Arabidopsis thaliana: one gene and its partners. The protein of the gene in region 2 interacts with the protein of the main gene of each other region in a pairwise test. Each region holds a gene or a part of one and is shown on either strand. Other genes may lie near its edges.

What was found.
Region 1: the proteins of NFD6 (region 2) and AT3G54390 interact in a two-hybrid assay, tested with the Arabidopsis thaliana proteins (one large-scale study listed by BioGRID).
Region 3: the proteins of NFD6 (region 2) and AT4G17680 interact in a two-hybrid assay, tested with the Arabidopsis thaliana proteins (one large-scale study listed by BioGRID).

Annotation. Positions count from the first base shown.
Region 1 is NC_003074.8:20,135,245-20,142,066, reverse strand, and holds AT3G54390 (sequence-specific DNA binding transcription factor), read left to right. Parts: upstream 1-2,822; 5' UTR 2,823-3,069; coding exon 3,070-3,098; exon of another isoform or gene 3,099-3,184; coding exon 3,185-3,719; intron 3,720-3,780; coding exon 3,781-4,155; 3' UTR 4,156-4,329; downstream 4,330-6,822. Other genes in the region: AT3G54400 (Eukaryotic aspartyl protease family protein), read left to right, coding at 709-1,186, 1,421-1,776; SAC3C (SAC3/GANP/Nin1/mts3/eIF-3 p25 family), read left to right, coding at 5,315-5,552, 5,822-5,922, 6,212-6,433, 6,814-6,822.
Region 2 is NC_003071.7:8,862,139-8,869,065, reverse strand, and holds NFD6 (nuclear fusion defective 6), read right to left. Parts: upstream 3,969-6,927; 5' UTR 3,845-3,968; coding exon 3,684-3,844; intron 3,409-3,683; coding exon 3,258-3,408; 3' UTR 2,974-3,257; coding exon of another isoform or gene 2,969-2,973; 3' UTR 2,719-2,968; coding exon of another isoform or gene 2,699-2,718; 3' UTR 2,493-2,698; coding exon of another isoform or gene 2,473-2,492; 3' UTR 2,291-2,472; downstream 1-2,290. Other genes in the region: AT2G20590 (Reticulon family protein), read left to right, coding at 1-362, 443-587, 663-737, 824-965, 1,052-1,121, 1,209-1,274, 1,406-1,528, 1,612-1,823; RPN1A (26S proteasome regulatory subunit S2 1A), read right to left, coding at 4,367-4,439, 4,532-4,710, 4,813-4,921, 5,012-5,097, 5,190-5,303, 5,393-5,452, 5,553-5,768, 5,848-5,961 and 4 more.
Region 3 is NC_003075.7:9,840,117-9,847,240, forward strand, and holds AT4G17680 (SBP (S-ribonuclease binding protein) family protein), read right to left. Parts: upstream 4,219-7,124; 5' UTR 3,980-4,218; coding exon 3,882-3,979; intron 3,785-3,881; coding exon 3,714-3,784; exon of another isoform or gene 3,635-3,713; coding exon 3,384-3,634; exon of another isoform or gene 3,360-3,383; coding exon of another isoform or gene 3,312-3,359; coding exon 2,787-3,311; 3' UTR 2,494-2,786; downstream 1-2,493. Other genes in the region: AT4G17690 (Peroxidase superfamily protein), read left to right, coding at 6,011-6,991.

The DNA.
Region 1 (6,822 bases), on a different chromosome or scaffold from region 2:
ACTCAACGTAATTTTTTTGAATCATATCATACATTCATACTTAACGATACTTTTGTACTGAATAAACCGGGAAAATCGATATACAAAAAATACATTTAAATTATACTAACAAATAATTCGCATTTTTACTTTGTTCAAAACAAGATCTAATCAGAACATACATAAATGTTTCAAATCGAAAGAAAAAAAATGGTTAGTATTTGGACTTGATTATTTTTAACAAAACAAGAAATTTAAAACCAAAACCGAAATACGAACCGAATGTCAGGCGTAATGTGAATGCCTCTACGTCAATTTTTGGATCCATCTACACAAAAGATGTGAATGTGAACTTCGTTTTTGGCGTGTTATTACACCATGATCGAGAAGTCTAGTCACGGGTTTTGGACCTTTTGGTACCATGAGTCTAAGTCACGGGTATATTATTATTTATACAAGAAATTTATAAACAATCCAACTAGTAGAGCATATTTTACTGTTTGAACTTTGATCTATATATATACTTTGTCGTCATGCTAGTTAGGTTTTGCCTATAATACAAAAACGCCACTTACAACTGCAATTAAATAACGTAACACATCGTTAGTAGCGCAATTTAATAACCAGATCCAAGATGGATAAAACAATTCTTTATGGAAATACGTTGTTAAACTCAAAGAACAAAAAAAATTCTAAATATTAATCAATAAAGAGTTTTTTTTATTGCAGGCTCCAAATCCAAGTTGCACAGTAAGCAAATCATGTGGTTTCAACATGACCTACGGTGGTTCAACCATCGAAGCATATCTGACACAAGACACACTAACATTGGCCAGTGACGTCATCCCAAACTACACCTTTGGGTGCATCAACAAAGCTAGTGGAACATCGTTGCCAGCGCAAGGACTCATGGGCTTAGGTCGTGGTCCATTGTCTTTAATCTCACAGTCACAAAATCTTTATCAGTCTACATTCTCGTATTGCTTGCCTAATAGTAAGTCCAGCAATTTCTCCGGATCACTAAGATTGGGACCTAAGAACCAACCGATCCGGATCAAGACCACTCCATTGTTAAAGAACCCTAGAAGATCATCGCTTTACTATGTTAACTTGGTTGGGATTCGTGTCGGAAACAAAATTGTGGATATTCCTACAAGTGCACTCGCCTTTGATCCGGCCACCGGAGCCGGCACCATCTTTGACTCGGGTATGGACTTCTCAACCCTCCTTAATATTTTTTATTTTTCGCTTGAGAACTGAAAAGTCGTGCGATGGAAGTAACCTAATTGCTCTGCTCTCTCACACGTAACACGTGATATTTCTGGACTAAAAATGATTTTACAATCAAAACAAAAATGGCCAATCCAAATTTTCATATAAAAATTATATTTTAGAAAAGAAATTTGATTTTTAATTACAAAACACTTTTGAATGTACGCAGGGACGGTCTACACAAGGCTAGTCGAACCAGCTTACGTGGCGGTGAGAAACGAGTTCAGGAGACGTGTTAAGAACGCAAACGCAACTTCACTAGGAGGTTTCGACACATGCTACTCCGGCTCCGTCGTGTTCCCGTCGGTGACGTTTATGTTCGCCGGAATGAACGTGACTCTGCCTCCAGACAACCTTCTCATCCACAGCTCCGCAGGTAACCTCAGCTGCCTCGCCATGGCTGCAGCTCCGGTCAACGTTAACTCTGTCCTTAACGTCATCGCTAGTATGCAGCAACAGAACCACCGAGTTCTCATCGACGTTCCAAATTCCAGGCTCGGAATTTCCCGTGAAACTTGCACCTAAGTTTTATCGATTTGTATTTTTGTTTTCGGTCGATTTCGTAATGCGTTTTGAACTTTTGAATTTTGGAAACTATATAAGTTAATGATTTTTGTTAATTCTCAAACGATTGTAAAATCTTTCGTATGATTTTCTTTCGATGTTCTCTGTTCAAAAAGGATTGTACTCATGAATTTGCGGATGCAATAAGCCTGGAACAGAGGACCTTTATTATTTTAAATATATATATGTTCCAACTTCCAAGTATAATCATATGCATCAACTTCATGAGAAAGTACCAAAATGTCAACAAAAAATGATTATGCCTTGGAAGGCATTTTCATCACCCAAATGAGACTGAGAAGTTCTAAATGGCGCGTTAAAAATCTACGATGATAATCTTGTAGACCCCAAAATGTCCGATGTGCTGCCTTGAAGTTGCATAGTTCATCATACTCCACTAACGAGGAAACACATTCACTCTTACAACAAAACTTCTCTCATATAGGTAAGAAAAAAGGTGTGAAAATTAAAGACTTGTCCTAATATTTGGTACTTGTAATATTTGGATGACTTGATAATTAACCAAAGATTTTAGTGAACACTAACCCACAAAATTTCTGAATGTTTTGAAAGATATACACTTTCAATAAGTGAAAAAGGAACAACCCCGAATTAGTATCTTTGCGCAAACATGAGAGAAGAAAAAGAGTGGAACATAGAATGGGTGAGAGAGTGACAAGTGTAAACCCCACTTCCATTAGGTTCATTCCCATCTTTGCCAAATGGATTTTGCGGTTTGGCTTGACATCAACGCTAACAGCCAGACTCACTCCACCATACACCTAAAAAGAGAAAAAAAGCATACAAAAAGGCTTTTATAGCTAAATGAATAAAAGCATTTGCATCAGAAGATTTTTGAAATCATTATTGTGAAAAAATAAAATCAAAAGTAAAACCTTTTTTCAAGTTGACAAATAAAAGAAAAGAAACCCTATTTTTCAATGGTAACCCACTTTCTCACATTTTTCTCTTTATTCTCCTCTATAGTATGTGTGTGTGACGGGTTGCTCCACTAACTTTTGTGAAGGTAAGTATAAAGCCGGTGCAATTATGCGTTTCTCTGTTTGTATTTGTAATCTTTATACAAACCATAAATTGGAACAAAGACTAAAATGACAGTAACAATATAAGTGAAAAACATAATTTCATTAGCTTTAAGTCACGAGGCACGACCATTGAACATGCGAGAAACGCGTGTACCCAAACTCATTGGTTAGTTTTGAGAGCAGCAGCGTATTCTTACACAGTTCTCATATGTTTAACTCCATTCACTCTCTCAAAAGGTTCCCATCTTTATCAAAAGACTTGCTAAAATCTTCTCTTTCTTTCTCCTTTCATCACACTCTTGAGTCCTTGTCTCTGTTTTTAGTCACCTGAAGAAAAAATATATGGAGAACGGAGAATCTAACCAAGAAAATCTCAAATCTCTCAACCACGACGAATCGCTTAAGAAGCCATCTGCTTCCTCCGTCGTTGTAGATAGGTTAAAACGTGATGAATGGAGCGAAGGAGCTGTTTCGACTTTACTCGAAGCTTATGAGTCAAAATGGGTTCTCAGAAACAGAGCCAAGCTTAAGGGACAAGACTGGGAAGACGTGGCTAAACACGTGTCCTCACGCGCCACTCACACCAAGTCACCAAAGACTCAGACTCAGTGCAAGAACAAGATCGAGTCCATGAAGAAACGGTACCGTTCTGAGTCCGCTACTGCTGATGGCTCCTCTTGGCCTCTTTATCCTCGTCTTGATCATCTCCTACGTGGAACTCAGCCTCAGCCTCAGCCTCAAGCTGTTCTGCCTCTGAATTGCTCTGTTCCTCTGCTCTTACTTGAGCCGCCGTTGCCTGCGGTGGCTCATCCGCCGCAGATTTCTTACGGATCCAACGGCGTCGGCAAGATTCCTAAGGTCTGATCACCTAAACTAACCAAATTTGGGAGATTTTCTAATGAAGTTATTTTGTGTGTAGGAAGACGGATTCAAGCCGGAGAACAAACCGGAAAAAGATGCGGAGATGGATACAGACAGTAGTACGCCTGTGGTTAAAACGAAGGTGAGAGGGAAGAAAGTGAAGAGAAGATATAAAGAAGAGAAGGAAGAGATCGCCGGAAGTATACGGTGGTTAGCGGAGGTGGTGATGAGATCAGAGAGAGCAAGAATGGAGACGATGAAAGAGATAGAGAGAATGAGAGCTGAAGCTGAAGCTAAGAGAGGAGAATTGGATTTGAAACGGACGGAGATAATGGCGAATACTCAGCTAGAGATTGCTAGAATCTTTGCTGCTGCAGCTTCTTCTGGACAGAACAAAGGTGTTGATTCTTCATTAAGGATCGGAAGAAATTGAGTTCTGCTTTTTATATTGGAGACTCAAGATGTTGTGTGTACATACCAAGTGTTGTTTTGTCAAAATTTCTCAGAGAGAGACCAATAATTGTTTCCTGGGGTAGATGGCGATTTCCACATTTCTACCAGCAAATGTATGCTTTTGCCATATGAATATCATCAATCTTTAGTCAAAGAGATGCTAATACTGTCTCAAATTTGTGTGTGTTTAAGTGTTTTAACTCTTCAGGTAGAGATTTACAGAGAATGCTTGGTAGATAGTTCGGTTCGATCAGTTTGGTCGTGTTAGAGATTGTAGTGAAAGAGAAAATAAGTCTTAGCAAAAGAATGCGAGACAACTGTCTAGTATTAGTGGAGATGAACCAGCTTTTTCTCTTTGCATTTCTAATATGGAGTTTTTTTTGGATGGGAAATTGCACTATGATAGTATGATTAGTGGTTCTAGTCTATGTGTTTTGAATGTTAGCAGTTAGATTCTTGTTAGGGATAGTTGATGAAAAGAAACCTAAATTTGTAGTGGTGGACACATTGTTCTCTGCTGTCTAGAGAGTGGCCGTGACTACTAGACCCACCAACCGGCCTAAGCTTGCCTGTATAGGGGTGGGAAAAAATAGAATAACACCAAAAATGAAATGCTCAAATGACAAAATCAAAATTGATTTCCTTCAAATATATCTAACTAGACTATTGTTTGTAAAAAAACAAAACAGAACCGAATCGTAATTGCACAAATGACTAAACCATATATTCTTCCCAAAAAAAAAAGACCAAACCGTATACGAAAGGTTTGATTTGGTATCGATTTAAAAAGAAAATCTGCAAAACCGGAAAGAAAAACAAAACAAAACTTAAAATCAAATTTTCCAAAACTATATATGTAAATTACAAAGTGTAGGGAAATGTGAAATGTTCTAGATTCTTACTTGAGTTGAATTTTGAATGCTGCATTTGTAGAAATGCAAATTTGTGTACAAGTCAGAACCGGTGTAAATTAAATTGACCCGGTTGCCGCCAGATTTAATTCGCTGAGAGTACTGTACCGGATTTGGTTCTCTTCCGGTTTATTCCAAATAATAGTTCGGTAACAGCTTTGATTGGTTCGTTTCTTCAGAGTCTGGTTTGGGACTTGGGAGGGAAGAAGATCTCGTTCCCTCTAAGCCATGAATCGTCGTAATCGTGGCTCTTCTTCTTCTTCTTCTAGGGTTTCGAATACTTATGGGAACCGCCAGTTCTCTGATAACCCGAGGACTGGATCCGGCGGCGGAGTTAATGAATCCTTTCAGAGAAGATCCGATGCACCGCACAAACGAAACAATGAAAAAGACGAATCAAAACATAAAGACGAAGATCCTGCTGACGTTTCATTGATTGTAGGAACTTGTTCTTCTATGTGCCCAGGTAATCATCGAACTACGTTAGCTGCAGATAAATTACCAATTGACCTGAGATTCCGCTAAAATTCAACCCTATCCTGCACCTGAATTGGATTTGATCTAGTTCTTAGGTCAATTAGGTACTTTCCCTTCATCAATTCATGATCCTTCCGTGCATCGGCAGTTCAGAACAAAGAATTATCTTTTGCTAGGGGTTTAGGTAAAAAATTACACTTGAAGTACCAAAAAGAGTGTGTACAGCTTCATCTAATATGTTGTTTTTGGTATCAATAGAGAGGGAAAGAGTCACAAGAGAACGCCTGCGTGATCTTGCAGTGTTTGAGAGGCTTTATGGAAACCCCTCAAAATCATCCACAGAGATAGCTGTCAAAAAGGTGCGGTTCACATTGTACAGCTTTGAGTTTTCATGTCTCTGGTGCTAATGTGGGAAACTTTCACCTTCAGCTTTCTATATTTGACATGTCGTATCTATTCTTCGAGAGAACTTGTTATTGAAAGAAATTTGATGTTGAAATTCTTCATCTATGCAAATTAGAATCCATAACTTATTGGTCAAGATGAATAGTTTGTACTACTTATTGGGAGATACCAGCTGCTATGCAATGAGGTTCATTTTTTTCCAATACCAACGGCATTTATACTCTCTTTCTGTGTTCTTGCTAGTTTTGCAGAACCCTTTCAGCGGCGGATGTTCAGGCATCGGATGTAAGACCGCTCCCAGTTTTAGAAGAAACCCTGAGATACCTTCTAAGTTTGCTCGACTCCAAGGAGCACCCGTTTGAAGTGGTTCATGATTTTATTTTCGATAGGACAAGGTCTATTAGACAAGATCTTAGCATCCAGAATTTGGCCAATGAGAGAGTGATCTACCTTTATGAGGAAATGGTATGGTTTGACTTTTTTCTAACTCTTTTCTCTTTCCTGGTTCGGTAAATGAATTACACTGAGCATGTCTATTTTGTCTTTAGAATTGCTTTCCTTGGGTTTTGTTGACAGTCGTTTGTGTGTTTAACCCTCTGCTATTACCAAAAGAATATTTGTAAGTTTAAGATATTTTGACTTAATGTGTTGATTGTAGTTTACATAGTCGTAATCTTAATCAGGATGCTCAAATAGGATCATTTTTCTTCTTTTGTAATTTTCATAGAAATATATACCACTCTGATTGATCATCCTCTTCTGATTGGTAATCATCAGTTTGTTTTATTTTCTATAGAGTTCCGTTGATGTTATTATTGTTGACTCCCGAATGGCTTCTGTAACAGGTAAAATTT
Region 2 (6,927 bases):
GTCTCCCAATACTCCAAACCCATCATCACCTGTTCCTCTTCGCGATATCCTCCTCTTACCTCCTTCTCCACTTCGAAAATCGAGGACCCGTTTATCCGATCGACTCGAAATGACTTCTGAAGATGCTATGGCGGTGGTTCGGAAACGGGGCAAAGGGAAAGGAGGGCAAAAGAGTCTTTTAGCATCTCCGAGGAATCCCCGGAGATCGAGGCGAAGATCTGAAGCTGTGGAAGAGAAAGAAGCTAATTTGGTTATCGAAGAAATCGTAAAGCTTCCTCCTAGAAAGCGGAAGACTAATGGTCGACCTAAGAAGGATAAGCAAAGTTCAGCTCCTCCTCTTTGTTCTTCCTCAGATCTTCCAAGTACTCTTCTTTCTCTTATTATCTGCTTTATGTGTTTCTCTGCTTAATTCTGATTTGCTTGTGTGTTGGGTTTGGTGAAGATACATGTCAGAGCGATTTGAATCTGATTGGAGAGATTATAAGTGATTTGGTAATGTGGAGAGATGTTGCGAAATCGACTCTCTGGTTTGGTTTTGGATGTTTGTCTTTCCTATCTTCTTGCTTTGCCAAAGGAGTCAACTTTAGGTACCAAATATCTAGCTTGTGTTTGTAGGCTCAATTAGATTTGTGAAAGTCATGACCTTTTTCTTTGTTTTGAAGCGTTTTCTCGGCGGTTTCCAATCTCGGACTTGTGTTACTTTGCGGGTCCTTCTTGTCAAACACTCTTTGTCAAAGGTACATTTACTTCTGTGGTCTCTTTTGTTTGGCATTCTCCATAAGCTAATAGTTAGTGTGATCCTTCAATGTGTTGTTACTTTTAGGAAAAATGAAGACACAAAGAGAGCGTTCCATGTGAGTGAAGATGATGTCTTGCGCTCAGCTAGACGAGTGCTTCCTGCAACCAACTTTTTTATCTCGAAGACTAGTGAGCTTTTTTCAGGAGAACCATCAATGACACTCAAAGTAAACAAAATCAAATCAGTTTTGGTGATTGCTATGTGTTGGTGGTTTACTTGCCCTTTCATCTGCTGATTTTCTTTTTGTCACAGGTGACACCATTTCTGCTACTTGGAGCTGAGTATGGTCATCTCATAACACTGTGGAGGCTATCTGCATTTGGTAATTAACATTTGGAACATAAGCTGAAACATTGTTAAGCATGATAGGAATTGTGATGATGATATGTGTGTATGGTTACTGAAACAGGTTTCTTCCTCAGTTTCACCATCCCAAAGCTGTATTCATGTTACACGCATCAGATTAGCCAAAAAGGTGAAGAATAATGAATTGCACCCATTCACATATTGTCAATTGTGTTAGAATCAATAGTCAAGTGTTTGTAGATGTCTTTAACTGGTCCAATGGTTTAAATTCTTGAACTGGTTTGAGTTTCATTTGTGCAGTTGAAAGAGTGAAAACGAGAATAGGTGAAGCATGGGGAGTCTGCTCACACAAGAAGATCTTGGCTGGCTCTGCGGTGACAGCGTTTTGGAACTTGACGAGCATAAGAACCCGAATATTTGCAGGTAATTTACCTAACCAATGGTTGACAGAGTATTTGGTTTGCCTTGTATCAAAATATAACGTATACGTCTTTCATGTTCTGCAGTTTTTATCATCCTGGTGATATTTCGGTATAGGAGACAAAATCTACAGCTAACTCCCGAGGAAGTTGAGCCTGTTGAGAATGAGCAAGAAGAAGAAACACTCCCGCAGGAAGAAGAAACAGTTCCACAAGAAGAAGAAACAGTTCCACAAGAAGAAGAACAGACACAGCCATCAGAAGAGCGAGCTTTAGTGGTGGTGGTTGCAGAAACTTAAGGATCAAAGAAACTGTAGTGTTTGTACTTTGTATCAATCCACATTCAACAGAGATGTAATTCTATATCTCGAAAGGATCTGTTTTTTTAATATGAAAAATTAATGACAAAGAGATCCTTTAACAAAGCTGCCCATTCAAGTCGTGAATCTTTGGCAGAGAATACAATGTTTCATAAGATCCAAGGGACAAGAAGAAGAAACTTGAAACCTTCTTTCAAGTTTAAGGGTCGACAAGTTAATGTGCCAATTTGATTGCCAAATCTGCTACTTTTTCCCTACTTATTTTGATGAGATTCTTGATTATATATATATATATATATATATATATATATATATATATATATATATATATATATATATATATATATATATTTGGTAGAATCTTGATTATAATTTATAGTATTCAAACTCATGGATGTTTCCAAGTTTTAAATTAGTAGAAGTGATGCAATTTTGTTGAGTTTGTATGTTGATGTAATAGAAATCATAGAGATTTGATTCAAAAGATATTGGACATTTGTCTTTGATATGAAAACTAAAGACAAAGAGATGATTTGTGTTTGAACAGTACAACAATTATTCTTTGCCTAAATACTCTTAAACCTTCTCTCGCAATCAACAATCTCGCATTGGGTACGCGTAGACATCATCAAAAGTCCTCTTTGCAAGCTGATAAATTATACCAAACATCAGTTACTCGTCCAACCAATACAACATGTCTTACTTAATAGGCTGAAAACAAAGAAAAGCTCTCCAAGAAACTCAGAAACAAAATTAAGAGGGTTTTCGTTCCTAAGTTTTTCTAAAGAAGAAGGCTTTAAAAGGTAGAGGTTTTGTACATAAACTGTAGCTTCATTGTTCCTCTGGCTAACTCATCACACATCATCATTGCAAGCTGGGAGTATAAGACCAATCAGTAATAACTCAAATGCTATAACCAACAAGAAAAGAAGACACGTTTCCGGGTACATGTATTTTTTTTAAGAAGATATGTAAGAACCAGTTCTTTTAAAACACAATGCAGCATCAACCATTGCTTGATGTGTATCTAAAGCCTATCTTATTGCCTGAAACCCGTTCTAATCGTTTATATTATTTGCATGAAAACCCAGATCTTGGCTTCGTTGTCTCCATCTACACTTGTGTCAGCCTACAAGATCGAAAAACTAGACCAATTGAGCCGCTATCTCTTTACAACGTTAAGCAGAAAGACAACAACAACTGATCCAGTTTTTCGCCATAGCAACAACCAAAAAGAATCTACACTGATCGAGAAAGCTTCTTAAATGGCAAAATCTAAACTAGTTCTCTACCTATGTCTAATACAACAATCTAGAAAGCCAATACAGAAACAGCTCTCAAACACATTTCATCAATCAAACAAAGCATATCTCCACTCAATATTTAGTACATATTTAAGCCATTATTCAAGCATTACAAAATTGAAGGATGTGAGAAAGTACCGTCAGAGAGCCAGCCATAGGTTTGGCCAGAGATAGAAAGCTTTGAAGTCATTAGCGCTGAAGCTGTAGCCGAGTGATATGGTAACAATGACTCCACACAGAAGCTCAGTTCCACAGGATTTCTATTCACATCAAAAACAAACAAAAATGCAAATTCTTTTAAGTAATGTGATAAGAGAGTTTCACATTTAAAATCAACATCAAAATGCAAAATTTCATCTTTTTTACTTGTGAATAATCGATCTGGAAACATGATTAACGCAAAAATGTAATTTTTACATAGAGAAGTTCCTTCTTTTTTTTCACAATTCGATCGAATTTAACCCATTTCAAGCTTCAAGTAGCACAAAACTGTGAAATGAGCTCAAATAAGGAAATGGGTATGAGAGAGACTAACCGGAGAGGAGAAAGCAGTGGGCTTCTTCTGGCAGTGGCTCTAAACAATGGTGGAGCGGATTTCGCTTGAGAGGCGAAGCGGCCAGTAGAAGCAGCGGCGCTGCGTGAGGAAGCAGCTCGAAGCATCGATCTGGCACCGGAGAGGACGGCGGACGTGGCCATCAGGAGAGAGAATTGAAGAGAAGATCAAAAACTACGGCTGCGAGAGAGAAGAAGAGAGAATGCTGAAGCCTGAACTCCGATTACGATTACGGGAAATGATGATAAACCCTATAAACGCGATCTTAGTTTGGACGAAACCTTAGTCTTTTGTTATAAACGCGATCGCAACACTTTTGGGCCAAAGGAAAGCCCAATTTCATTTGTGCGTCTTTGAACGGCACTATGCAAGTGGCTAACATTTCTTCACTTTTTTTATGTGATCAAAGTAATTGGAAAATTTTATGGATCGTTATTTTTTAAACTGAGTCAATATTGGTTTTGGCAAGAATATGTGTCGACTTGGTGGCGATTAAAAAAAAAAAAAAAAAAAAGAGACTAAAGTTTATATAACTAAAAGCGTCAGGTCATACAAAGATCCCAAGATAATGAAACAAAGCTTAAACGGAGAGTAGAAAAACCATGAGATAATAGACGAAATAGTAAAACTAGTGACAACTGGCTGGAAGCAGAAGCTCTCTCTCTTCACTCCTCTCTGTAGTCTGGGTTCTCCTTTAAGATGATGAATCCTTCTAGTATTGGCGACAGAGGAATGTATCTGTTTGCCAGTTACAAATCCGAGTTTTATAATCAGACACCTAAGTAGGCAACATAAAGGGTACAAGGAAGAAAGGAAAAAGAATAACATACTTGTCCGTGGCTAGTTCGGCTCTCTCTCCAGCAGCCAGGAGAACAGGTGTGGAGTGTGTCTGGAAACCGGTTATGGTCTTGGGCCGACCCGCTTGCCCAACCACATCAACTGCTTGTCCTACCCGCACTGGCACTGACAGTGGCTTCAGGTTTTCATCCACTGTCAACATCATCCTTGGCTATACATTTTTTTAACAAAATTTGATTAAATATCAAATCATAGCAAGTTCATCAGACCTAACTAACAAGAGGGAGAAACACAGGACAGAAGTTGAACTCACTTGCATCGCCAAAACGAGGAAGTACAGCACATAATGGTACTTCCCGAGTATGATTGGTTTCATGTCAAGGCATGCATGCAAAAGTGTCACTATACCAGCAAGTGCGGTTCTGCATAAATAAGGTCCGCATGAGAAACCTTTGAACATCCAACTATCAAAAAAGATTTGGTTCTATTGGTGACAAAAAGAATGAACTTACGGCGATAGCAAGAACCGTTCAGAGTGGAAGGGGCTGAGTGTCAAGAGACCCTTTCCCATGTGCACAAGCCCTTGAGCAATACGCACCTGCATAATGACTTACCAAGTTAGTTACAATAATTCCAACAAGAACAACAGCTTACCGCAGGGTACAGAAACCAAAATGAGGAACACATTACACAGAAGAGAAGACTCATGTCTTTGTAATAATAGCTGGAGAGGTTCCGAAGCATCCCGGCTATCCTTGCGTTATTAGTTCCAGCGCCAATCAGTCCCAATGATATAATTGCTGACTGTACGAGTCAAAAGAAAGATCAGTCCTCTCTCAATACTATTCAGCTAAATAATATGGGACAGGCTATGAAGCGAAATGATTGCTAACCATGGCAACTTCCGAATCTGTGTCATGGCTAAGCCGGCTCAAGGTGTCCATTACAGTCACCTGGAATTGTGGGAAAAATATTAAAAACCCAGTATTACTCTAGACGCCCACTAATAATTGTAAGCAGGTGCAGTAAAACTACATTTACAAAAGTATTTACCTTTGGATTGGATATACAAAGGAGACCAAGGGCCAAAGGCACAGCACGCCGAATGTTTTGTTCTCCGTATTGTAGCATCCGCTCCAGAGAACGGATCTCCATATCAACTCCCAGTTCTTCAGACATAGCAACCATTGCTAACCCAAGCACAGCTGGACCCTGGTGGATGTCACCTTTCTCAAGATGCTCGCCACACTGAGCAAGAAGGTCTTGTACCTGAAAATATAAGTAGGAGTCAACAACTAAACAAGTAATGAATTATGTCACTCAACCACCAGCACAATTGATTAGATACCTTTAGGACATTTCCAGTTCCAGCATAAGCACAAGAAAGAAGTGTCATATCACAATACTTTCTAATCTTCTCATTGAAGGTCTTCGAAACTTCAGCTGTAGCCTCTACACTTTCCTGGTAGATATTGGAACAAGTTGATGTTGGTCAAGCAATGCAAATAATGATATACGAACAAAGAGCGAGATTATGTAAAACACATTGCTAACCTGTTTGCCCAGGTATAGAAGTCCAAGACCAAGTGGCAAGAAACGAGTGAGGGCATCACCCAGTTCTGCCTCACTTCGATCCATCAAAGCAAATATAATAGACTGGGCTACTTCTTCGTTACAGGAACCAACATATATCATTCCCAAAGAAAGTGAAGCAAATGCAATCACATCAAGAGGCGCTTTTGCATCATTCAGTATCGGGGACAATTTGTTTCGAATCTGTTGAAACAGTGTACGTGTTAAAGTTTTGTGAACACCCGAAACATTCAAGTAGTAATATGGGAAAGAATATAACAAGTACCTGGTCATTTTGGGAACCTGCGTATGAAATTCCAAGACCCATGATAGCACCGATTCTGACAGATGAATCCTCTTTGTCTATATAGTCTCCAAGAAGTGCCAATGCCTGAGAAATAAGGCTGAGTAAGATGGAAGAGTGGCTGCAAATATTAGCACAAATGGTCCCAGCAAAATCAAACACGACAGCAACTCACAGGATCACAATCGTTCTTAATGCCACAATTTACAATCCCAACTCCCAGCAGTGCTCCAGCAATGATAGGATTATCATTACTATGGAAATATTTGTCGAGTTGGGAAAGTCCAGAGTCCACATCCCACAGTTGAATCATACCCTATATGATAGGGAAACAAAAAGATCTGGTTACAATTCTTACTTCCATGATCTGAGCACAGTAAATAAATTCATCAAATAAGAAAAAGTATACCAGACTAGCAGCTGCACTAGTCTTGCCATGTTCTTTATTTTTGAAGAGCCAGTTTCCAGAAGATCCGGTGGTTGAGTCTGAAGGTACTGTCATTAGTTTGTCCTGCGATAAGCAAATATATTAAGAGGACACGTCTTCCACTA
Region 3 (7,124 bases), on a different chromosome or scaffold from region 2:
GGTAATGGTAAATTGGAAATGGAAGTGTAAACTTTATAATTATGAACACCAAAAGCAGAGATTATAATAATTATGGACCGTCCCTGCGAGCCTATTCATTACTTCTCCTGCGACGCATTATACTCAAAAATTTGAAGCTAACTAATGTAACATTTTCAAAGTCCAATTCTCAATCTATGGAATATATTATGTCTTCAAGAGCTATTATTCTAATGACGATCTATGCTAACAAATGGGATACTTGGAAACAGCATGAGCATCAGGATACTACGTGATGTCGCTAGCCACGAGGTTCTTACAATTTGATAATGGTCCCGATCAAAAGCTTAACAAAACATAAGTTAATTTCAGTTTATGTTACAAACGTAAACAACTTAAATAGATAAAAACAAACAATAACTAAAACCTAAAAATAGGAAGCATTTCCCACATTTAAGGCCTTAACCCAACAAAACTAGAAACAACACATGTTGAGGTATACATGGTTTTTGAACCCATCACAATTCTTATCCTTAATTTTTTCTACACAATTTTTTATTCGTGCATATCTTCATAATCCATAATATTCTAATTAACTAGATTATAACCCGCACATATGTGCGAGGTTTCAATTTTAAGAAATGTATTGAAATACATTTTTAGTGAAAGATATTATAGTTTGTAAATTATAATAAGCATAGAAAAGTATATAGTGTTATTTATGATAAAATAGATATTTTATTAATTTATATTATTTATATTTTATTTGTATTTTGCATAGTAAATAGGATTTTTGGATTTGTTTCGATTTGGCGGAATAATATAGAGATATTTGGAAAAATCTGTGTACTTTTGTTAGTTTGATGTATATATAAATTGATTGTTTTTGTTTAAAATTTGATCAATTAGATTATATAATGTAAAATTTACTCTGTGGTACACTGTTGGTCGATTTTTCTTGTAACTAAAAATTCAAATTTTAAGATATAGTTATTTTGTAAATATTGTTTATATTGTTTAATGTTTAAGATTGTATAATTATGTTATAATTATTAACTAAGATTTCACTCATAGATTATCGTCCCATATTAATATCAACCCAAACTCGTTCCACCATATAACTTCATTCCGTAAAATGAAAAATTATTTTGTTATTTTTAAATATTGTTATTGTAATATATAAAAAATCGAGAGATTGACATGTGGTACATCTTCGATTAATATATTTAAAAATAATTTGCGATTTATAAATTTATGATATTGTAGTATATAAAACCGATTTTTAGTGTATACCTTTCAATAAAATAGAGTTTTTATAATTAAAGTATAATAGTATTTGGTTTTTATATGGTTAGGTAATAGTATTTGGTTTATTATAAACTAATAAATTTGTTGATTTTAGTTAAAAATAAAAAATCAAATTAAGTAATATTTGTTTTGTTTATTTTTAAGATTGTATAACTATCATCTATTTTCTTGTAATCTAATGTTGATCCTGAAAGAAAAATCCATAAGAATACGCATAAATGGATAGTAATATTAGGAGATAAATATCATTAGAACATGAAGTAATTTACTTATGAATCTCTATCTATTGTTCGAAATAATCGATATTCTATATTGATTGTGAGGCAATGTGAATGTATGCATAACATTTATAATTATAAGAGATAGATTGTATGCAAAATTAGATTTTAATTTGGATTCAATCTTAGCTTTACTGAAAAAACTAAGATTATACACTTGTAGTTTGATTGTTAATTTAAGACTTTCACCTGTAGTATACCATCTTGTATTAATATCGATCTAAACCCGTCAATTTTACGATTTTCCAGCTTGTTAAAAATTGAATCACATCATACACATAAAAAATCTAATATCTTATTAATTATTGTAGTATATAAGATTATAATTTTTTAATATAATATGTATAAAATTGAATATAAATATTTCAAATTATGACCTGTTAACTCAGTAGAAAGTTTTCTTAAATCTATTTTCACCCGTTATAATATTTTTCATGTATTGAACAGTTTATATTCGTTTTTAAAAATTCAAATTATGGCATATGCGAAAAAACTCTAATTATTTTTTTATAATGATGATATTATTTTTTCGCAAAAATAGAATCATATAAAGATGAGAAGTGAACTATAATAATTAATAAAAAATTAATATGATAATTTAGATATCAAATCTAATTTGTTAATTTTAATTGTTTATTTTTTTGGAAATTAATAATGTATTTCGTTTTTCTAATTAAATTAAATTAATTAAAATTTAGATATCAAATCTTATATGTTGATTTTGATTGGTTATTGTTTTTGGAAATTAAAAATGTATTTCGTTTTTTAATTAAATTTAATTAATTAAATTAGTATTTGACTTTTTAATCCTTAAACAGATAAATTAATTTACTCTTTAAAATTTTATTTCTAATGGTATACCTATGTAATTATTTACAAAAAGTAAGGTTACATTTAAAATGTACTTCCCAAATAATATAGTAAGATTTCTAACGTAAATGAATTCAATTTTAGCAATTTCTTCAAAACGTTTTCTGAAAAAAAAAGCGAAGAATATCCAAAAGAAAGAAAGTAAACGAAGATGTCAAAACGAAAAAAATGCCACTACATGTGGCTATGTCCTATGTACATCATCAACTATATATAATTCAAATCTCATTTTCAATCTTTATTTTTGCCTATAGAAAACGTCCTTTTTCTGTACTGTTGTCTTGTTTGTTGCTTAGATCTGGATGGACCCATGGGCCTATAACGGGCCTATCAATTAAATACTCATCATCATCAAAATAAAACTTCGACACCGGAAGTCTTCACGGCGAGGCAAATCGGACAGACTCGCACTGCTCCGACGTCGCATCCATTACAAAGAATCAAATGTTGACACGGCAATGCCATCACCGTCGCAGATTTCCGCCGGCAAATCCTACAACTTGGTCCGATCAATTCGATCCGCTCCGGATCCACGTAAACCGATTCAGCGTCCTCTGCTTCTTCCGCGTCTCCGCCGTCTTCTCCGAACGTACTCTGTTTCGCCGCCGTATCTAGGCGGTTAGCTATGGCTTGTTGGAGATGAGCATGTAACGAGGACACCTCAGCTTCCCGCGTCGCCGCTCTTAACTGCCAGTTTCGCGCCTCTTCCACGATGTGAGCTACACGCGCTTCTAGCTCAGCGTGACGGCGCGTGGCTTTCTCCAACTCCGCTTCTTTTTTTCTCAATTTCCGTCCGACTATCTCCTCCGCAGCGCACAATAACTCTACGTAGCGTCTCTCTCTGTTATCCGCTAACGTACGCCGCAACTCTTCACCCTGCAAAATCAAATTATCAACACAAAGAAAAAACAAACCAAACCACATTTTAGGTCGAGTTTAATAAGACACCTGAGTCTGAATGAATCTGTCTAGTTCATCTCTTTGCCGTTTAATCTTTCCGGTAACATCTCCGGGAAGAGAAGAAAAAAACTGTTGTTGATTCTGTGACTGATCATGAAATAATCGAAGACCAGTGGAAACCACGTTAGGCGTTTTCTGCAACAACTCGGTTATATCAATAACTTGCGACGGTTTTGGAGGTGGAGGGTTCATCAGAGCCGATGAATAAACTTCTCTTGATCGTTTTCTTGAATCAACCCCTGTTTCAAAAACGGTGATGATTGAATGGAATTGAAGGAAAAAATTTGGAAACGATATGGGAATAATGAGAAGAGAGACCAGCTTTGGTGAAATTAGTGAAAGGAGTGTCTTGAGGCTGCAACGAACAATCACTAGCTTCTTGTCCGTTACTGTTCAATAAATTTTCATAAGAAATTGAAAACATCACATACATAATAAATACACAGGGCGTATACTATTACTATATGATTATATGAAGATTTTTACCTGTTGTTGAAGAAGAAACGTGAAGGATGCTGAGCTTGAATCGCCATTGAGCTATCAGAGAAGAGACCTATGCGTTCATTATCAGATAATAAGGGCATGCATGTGTGTTTGTGTATATGGGAAATGATGATGCTGATGATGATGAAAATGTATTGATTTTTTCAAGTATGAATTAAGAACTGAAAAAGAAAAGGAGAAAGAATGGGAGAAATAAATGGGGAAGATGAGGTTTTAGAGGGGAGGGGGACGAAAGGGTACAAAGACTTGTGGGTCTTTTTAAAGCTTTCAACATTATATGCATGATTCACACTAATGTTACCATTTTTTTTTTGCATCTACTTCTATTTTTTTCCTTAGTACTAGTACTCTTTCAATCATTCTTCAGTTGCAATATAGACTATATAGTATAATTTAGAGACTGAATCAAAATTAAAAGATGTGAACGATGTAACACTCTTCCCAAAGACCCTTCCAACCTAACTAAACCAAACCGTCTTTCAACCAAACTAATCCATTTTAGATCAGTCGATACATCACATATTTGCATGTTCCAGATGAATAATCTGTAGATGTATTCGTTAATCTTGTAGTACCTGAGGGTTTTAGCTACCTAACAATTTTCTTTTTCAATTTTTTTTTTTTGTTTTTTTTTTTCGTTTTAATTATAACTTAGATAGATCTTGGGCCAAAACCTAGATTATTATTACATGATGCATATAGTGAACCGAGTATTTCTTTTTTTTTTTCATTTAAGATGTTTACAATAACTAAATAAAAAGCTAACAATAGCGGTCCATAGTTTCATAGCAAAAAAAAAAAACAAAGAGAGAACAATAGCGGTCCATAGTTGGTTGGGATTCATATCTAGGTTTGATGTATAGGATAAATCCTTCACCACTCTTCCAATATAACCAATGTCCCAATTTTTGATATTATAAAAAGAAAACGGAGGAGTCGTCAATTATTGAAAGGTCTAGATCCATGTCGATGGCTAGATGCATATAAAGCATTAATGGATCGGACGTCATATATTCTTCAAATAAAAGGTATCAAATTAGATTATCCCTTGGTGCACTTCACGTTTCCTCATTGATATTATGCTTCACAGTTGCATATTATATATATGCTGGTGAGTCTTTTTCAAAACGATAAGCGACATACATATTCTAGCAAACAAACAATGTTCTACTTACCACATGATACATATAGGTACATAATGTTTCGTCATCAGTACACATTGCCATAGCGTATACATGAGATTACAAAAATTGAACTATATATAAAAAGAAAATCAAGCTTATCAAAATGTTTGGAGGAGTATGAAACATAATAATATATATAGGCATGATTTAATACTTTATAAACAGTAACACGTTAGCGAAAATTGATATCTAACAACAAATAATTTGGTTCTAGCATATGTTGGTCAGAAAGAATGGTAGGAATTTATATACTAATAAATGTCAACAAGATGACATAAAAATCTAGAAATGTGGTGGCAAGGTAAGCAACAAATTGATATAAGATGGATGGCATGTCCATTGTCAAGCAGTTGCATGATTTTAGTGGTCAGAACTCAGAAGTCAACATTTTTCTTAATTTTGTTTTTGTTTATATTTCAAATCAAGAGCAACATTAGATTAAGTAAAAGTTTGCTTGTATGTTTAGCCTATCAATTTAAATTTTCATATCTCTAACCATCAATAATGTTTTCTGTAGATGCTTTAGTTGATTAATCACCATTCCAAAATTCTTTCAAAAACAGGAGTAGTAATACAAAACAAATCAATTGAGTGATTAATCACCTTCACATTTCCCCAATTAGCATGCATTCCATGTTTGTGGTTTAATTAACCTAGAAGCCAATCGATTTTATAATGAATTAGTGTTAGAAAACGTTTCTAATGAAAAATGAAAGTAAAAACAAACTAAATATAGACCAATCACTGAAATAAAAAGAACATAACAAAAGCCAAACTCCAACCACACGTACATGCTTCTATATTTCACCGATAACAATTCAATAAAGAAGTCTACCTCATAGACATCTCTTTACATTTCAATTCCGTTTCCATATTTTACAAACAATATTTCTTTCACAAATCGATACGAGTCTCGTGAAATACACAATGTCTTCGGTTATAAATGTTCTCTTCGTCGTCCTAGTCTTTGTCCCGTCTATATACTCGGCACCACCACCAAATTTAACAAAAGATTATTACCAAAAAACATGTCCCGATTTCAATAAAATCGTACGTGAAACCGTTACACCAAAGCAAGGCCAGCAGCCAACGACAGCTGCTGGAACACTCCGTCTCTTTTTCCATGATTGTTTCATGGAAGGATGTGATGCTTCCGTCCTTATCGCTACAAATTCTTTCAACAAAGCCGAACGTGACGATGACCTCAACGAGTCGCTTCCGGGAGATGCATTCGACATTGTGACTCGCATCAAAACCGCTCTTGAATTGTCTTGTCCCGGGGTGGTGTCCTGCGCAGACATCCTGGCTCAGGCCACACGTGACCTTGTCACAATGGTTGGTGGGCCTTTCTATGAAGTCAAACTGGGCCGTAAAGATGGTTTTGAGTCAAAAGCCCATAAAGTCAAAGGAAATTTACCTTTAGCGAACCAATCCGTCCCCGACATGTTATCGATATTCAAGAAGAATGGTTTCACTCTAAAGGAGCTGGTTGCGTTAAGTGGCGGGCACACAATCGGATTCTCACACTGCAAAGAATTCAGCAACCGGATATTCCCGAAGGTTGATCCAGAACTCAACGCGAAATTCGCAGGAGTTCTTAAAGATCTATGCAAGAATTTCGAAACCAATAAGACGATGGCAGCATTTCTCGATCCGGTGACACCGGGAAAATTCGATAATATGTATTTCAAGAACTTGAAACGAGGTCTTGGACTGTTAGCTTCCGACCATATATTGTTTAAAGATCCTAGCACGAGACCGTTTGTAGAATTATATGCGAATAATCAGACGGCTTTCTTCGAGGATTTTGCACGTGCCATGGAGAAACTAGGCAGGGTTGGTGTTAAAGGCGAAAAAGATGGAGAAGTGAGACGTAGATGTGATCACTTCAACAAGCTTAACGTATAAGTAGCATAAACAGAAGAACATCATTGACTTCGATCGGTTTTCTTTGTATTTTTTTTTTAATAAATGTATTTATAAATAAGTAAGTTAATGTAACAATTTTGAGTGCCTAAAATTTACAAATAATCTTTGTTAT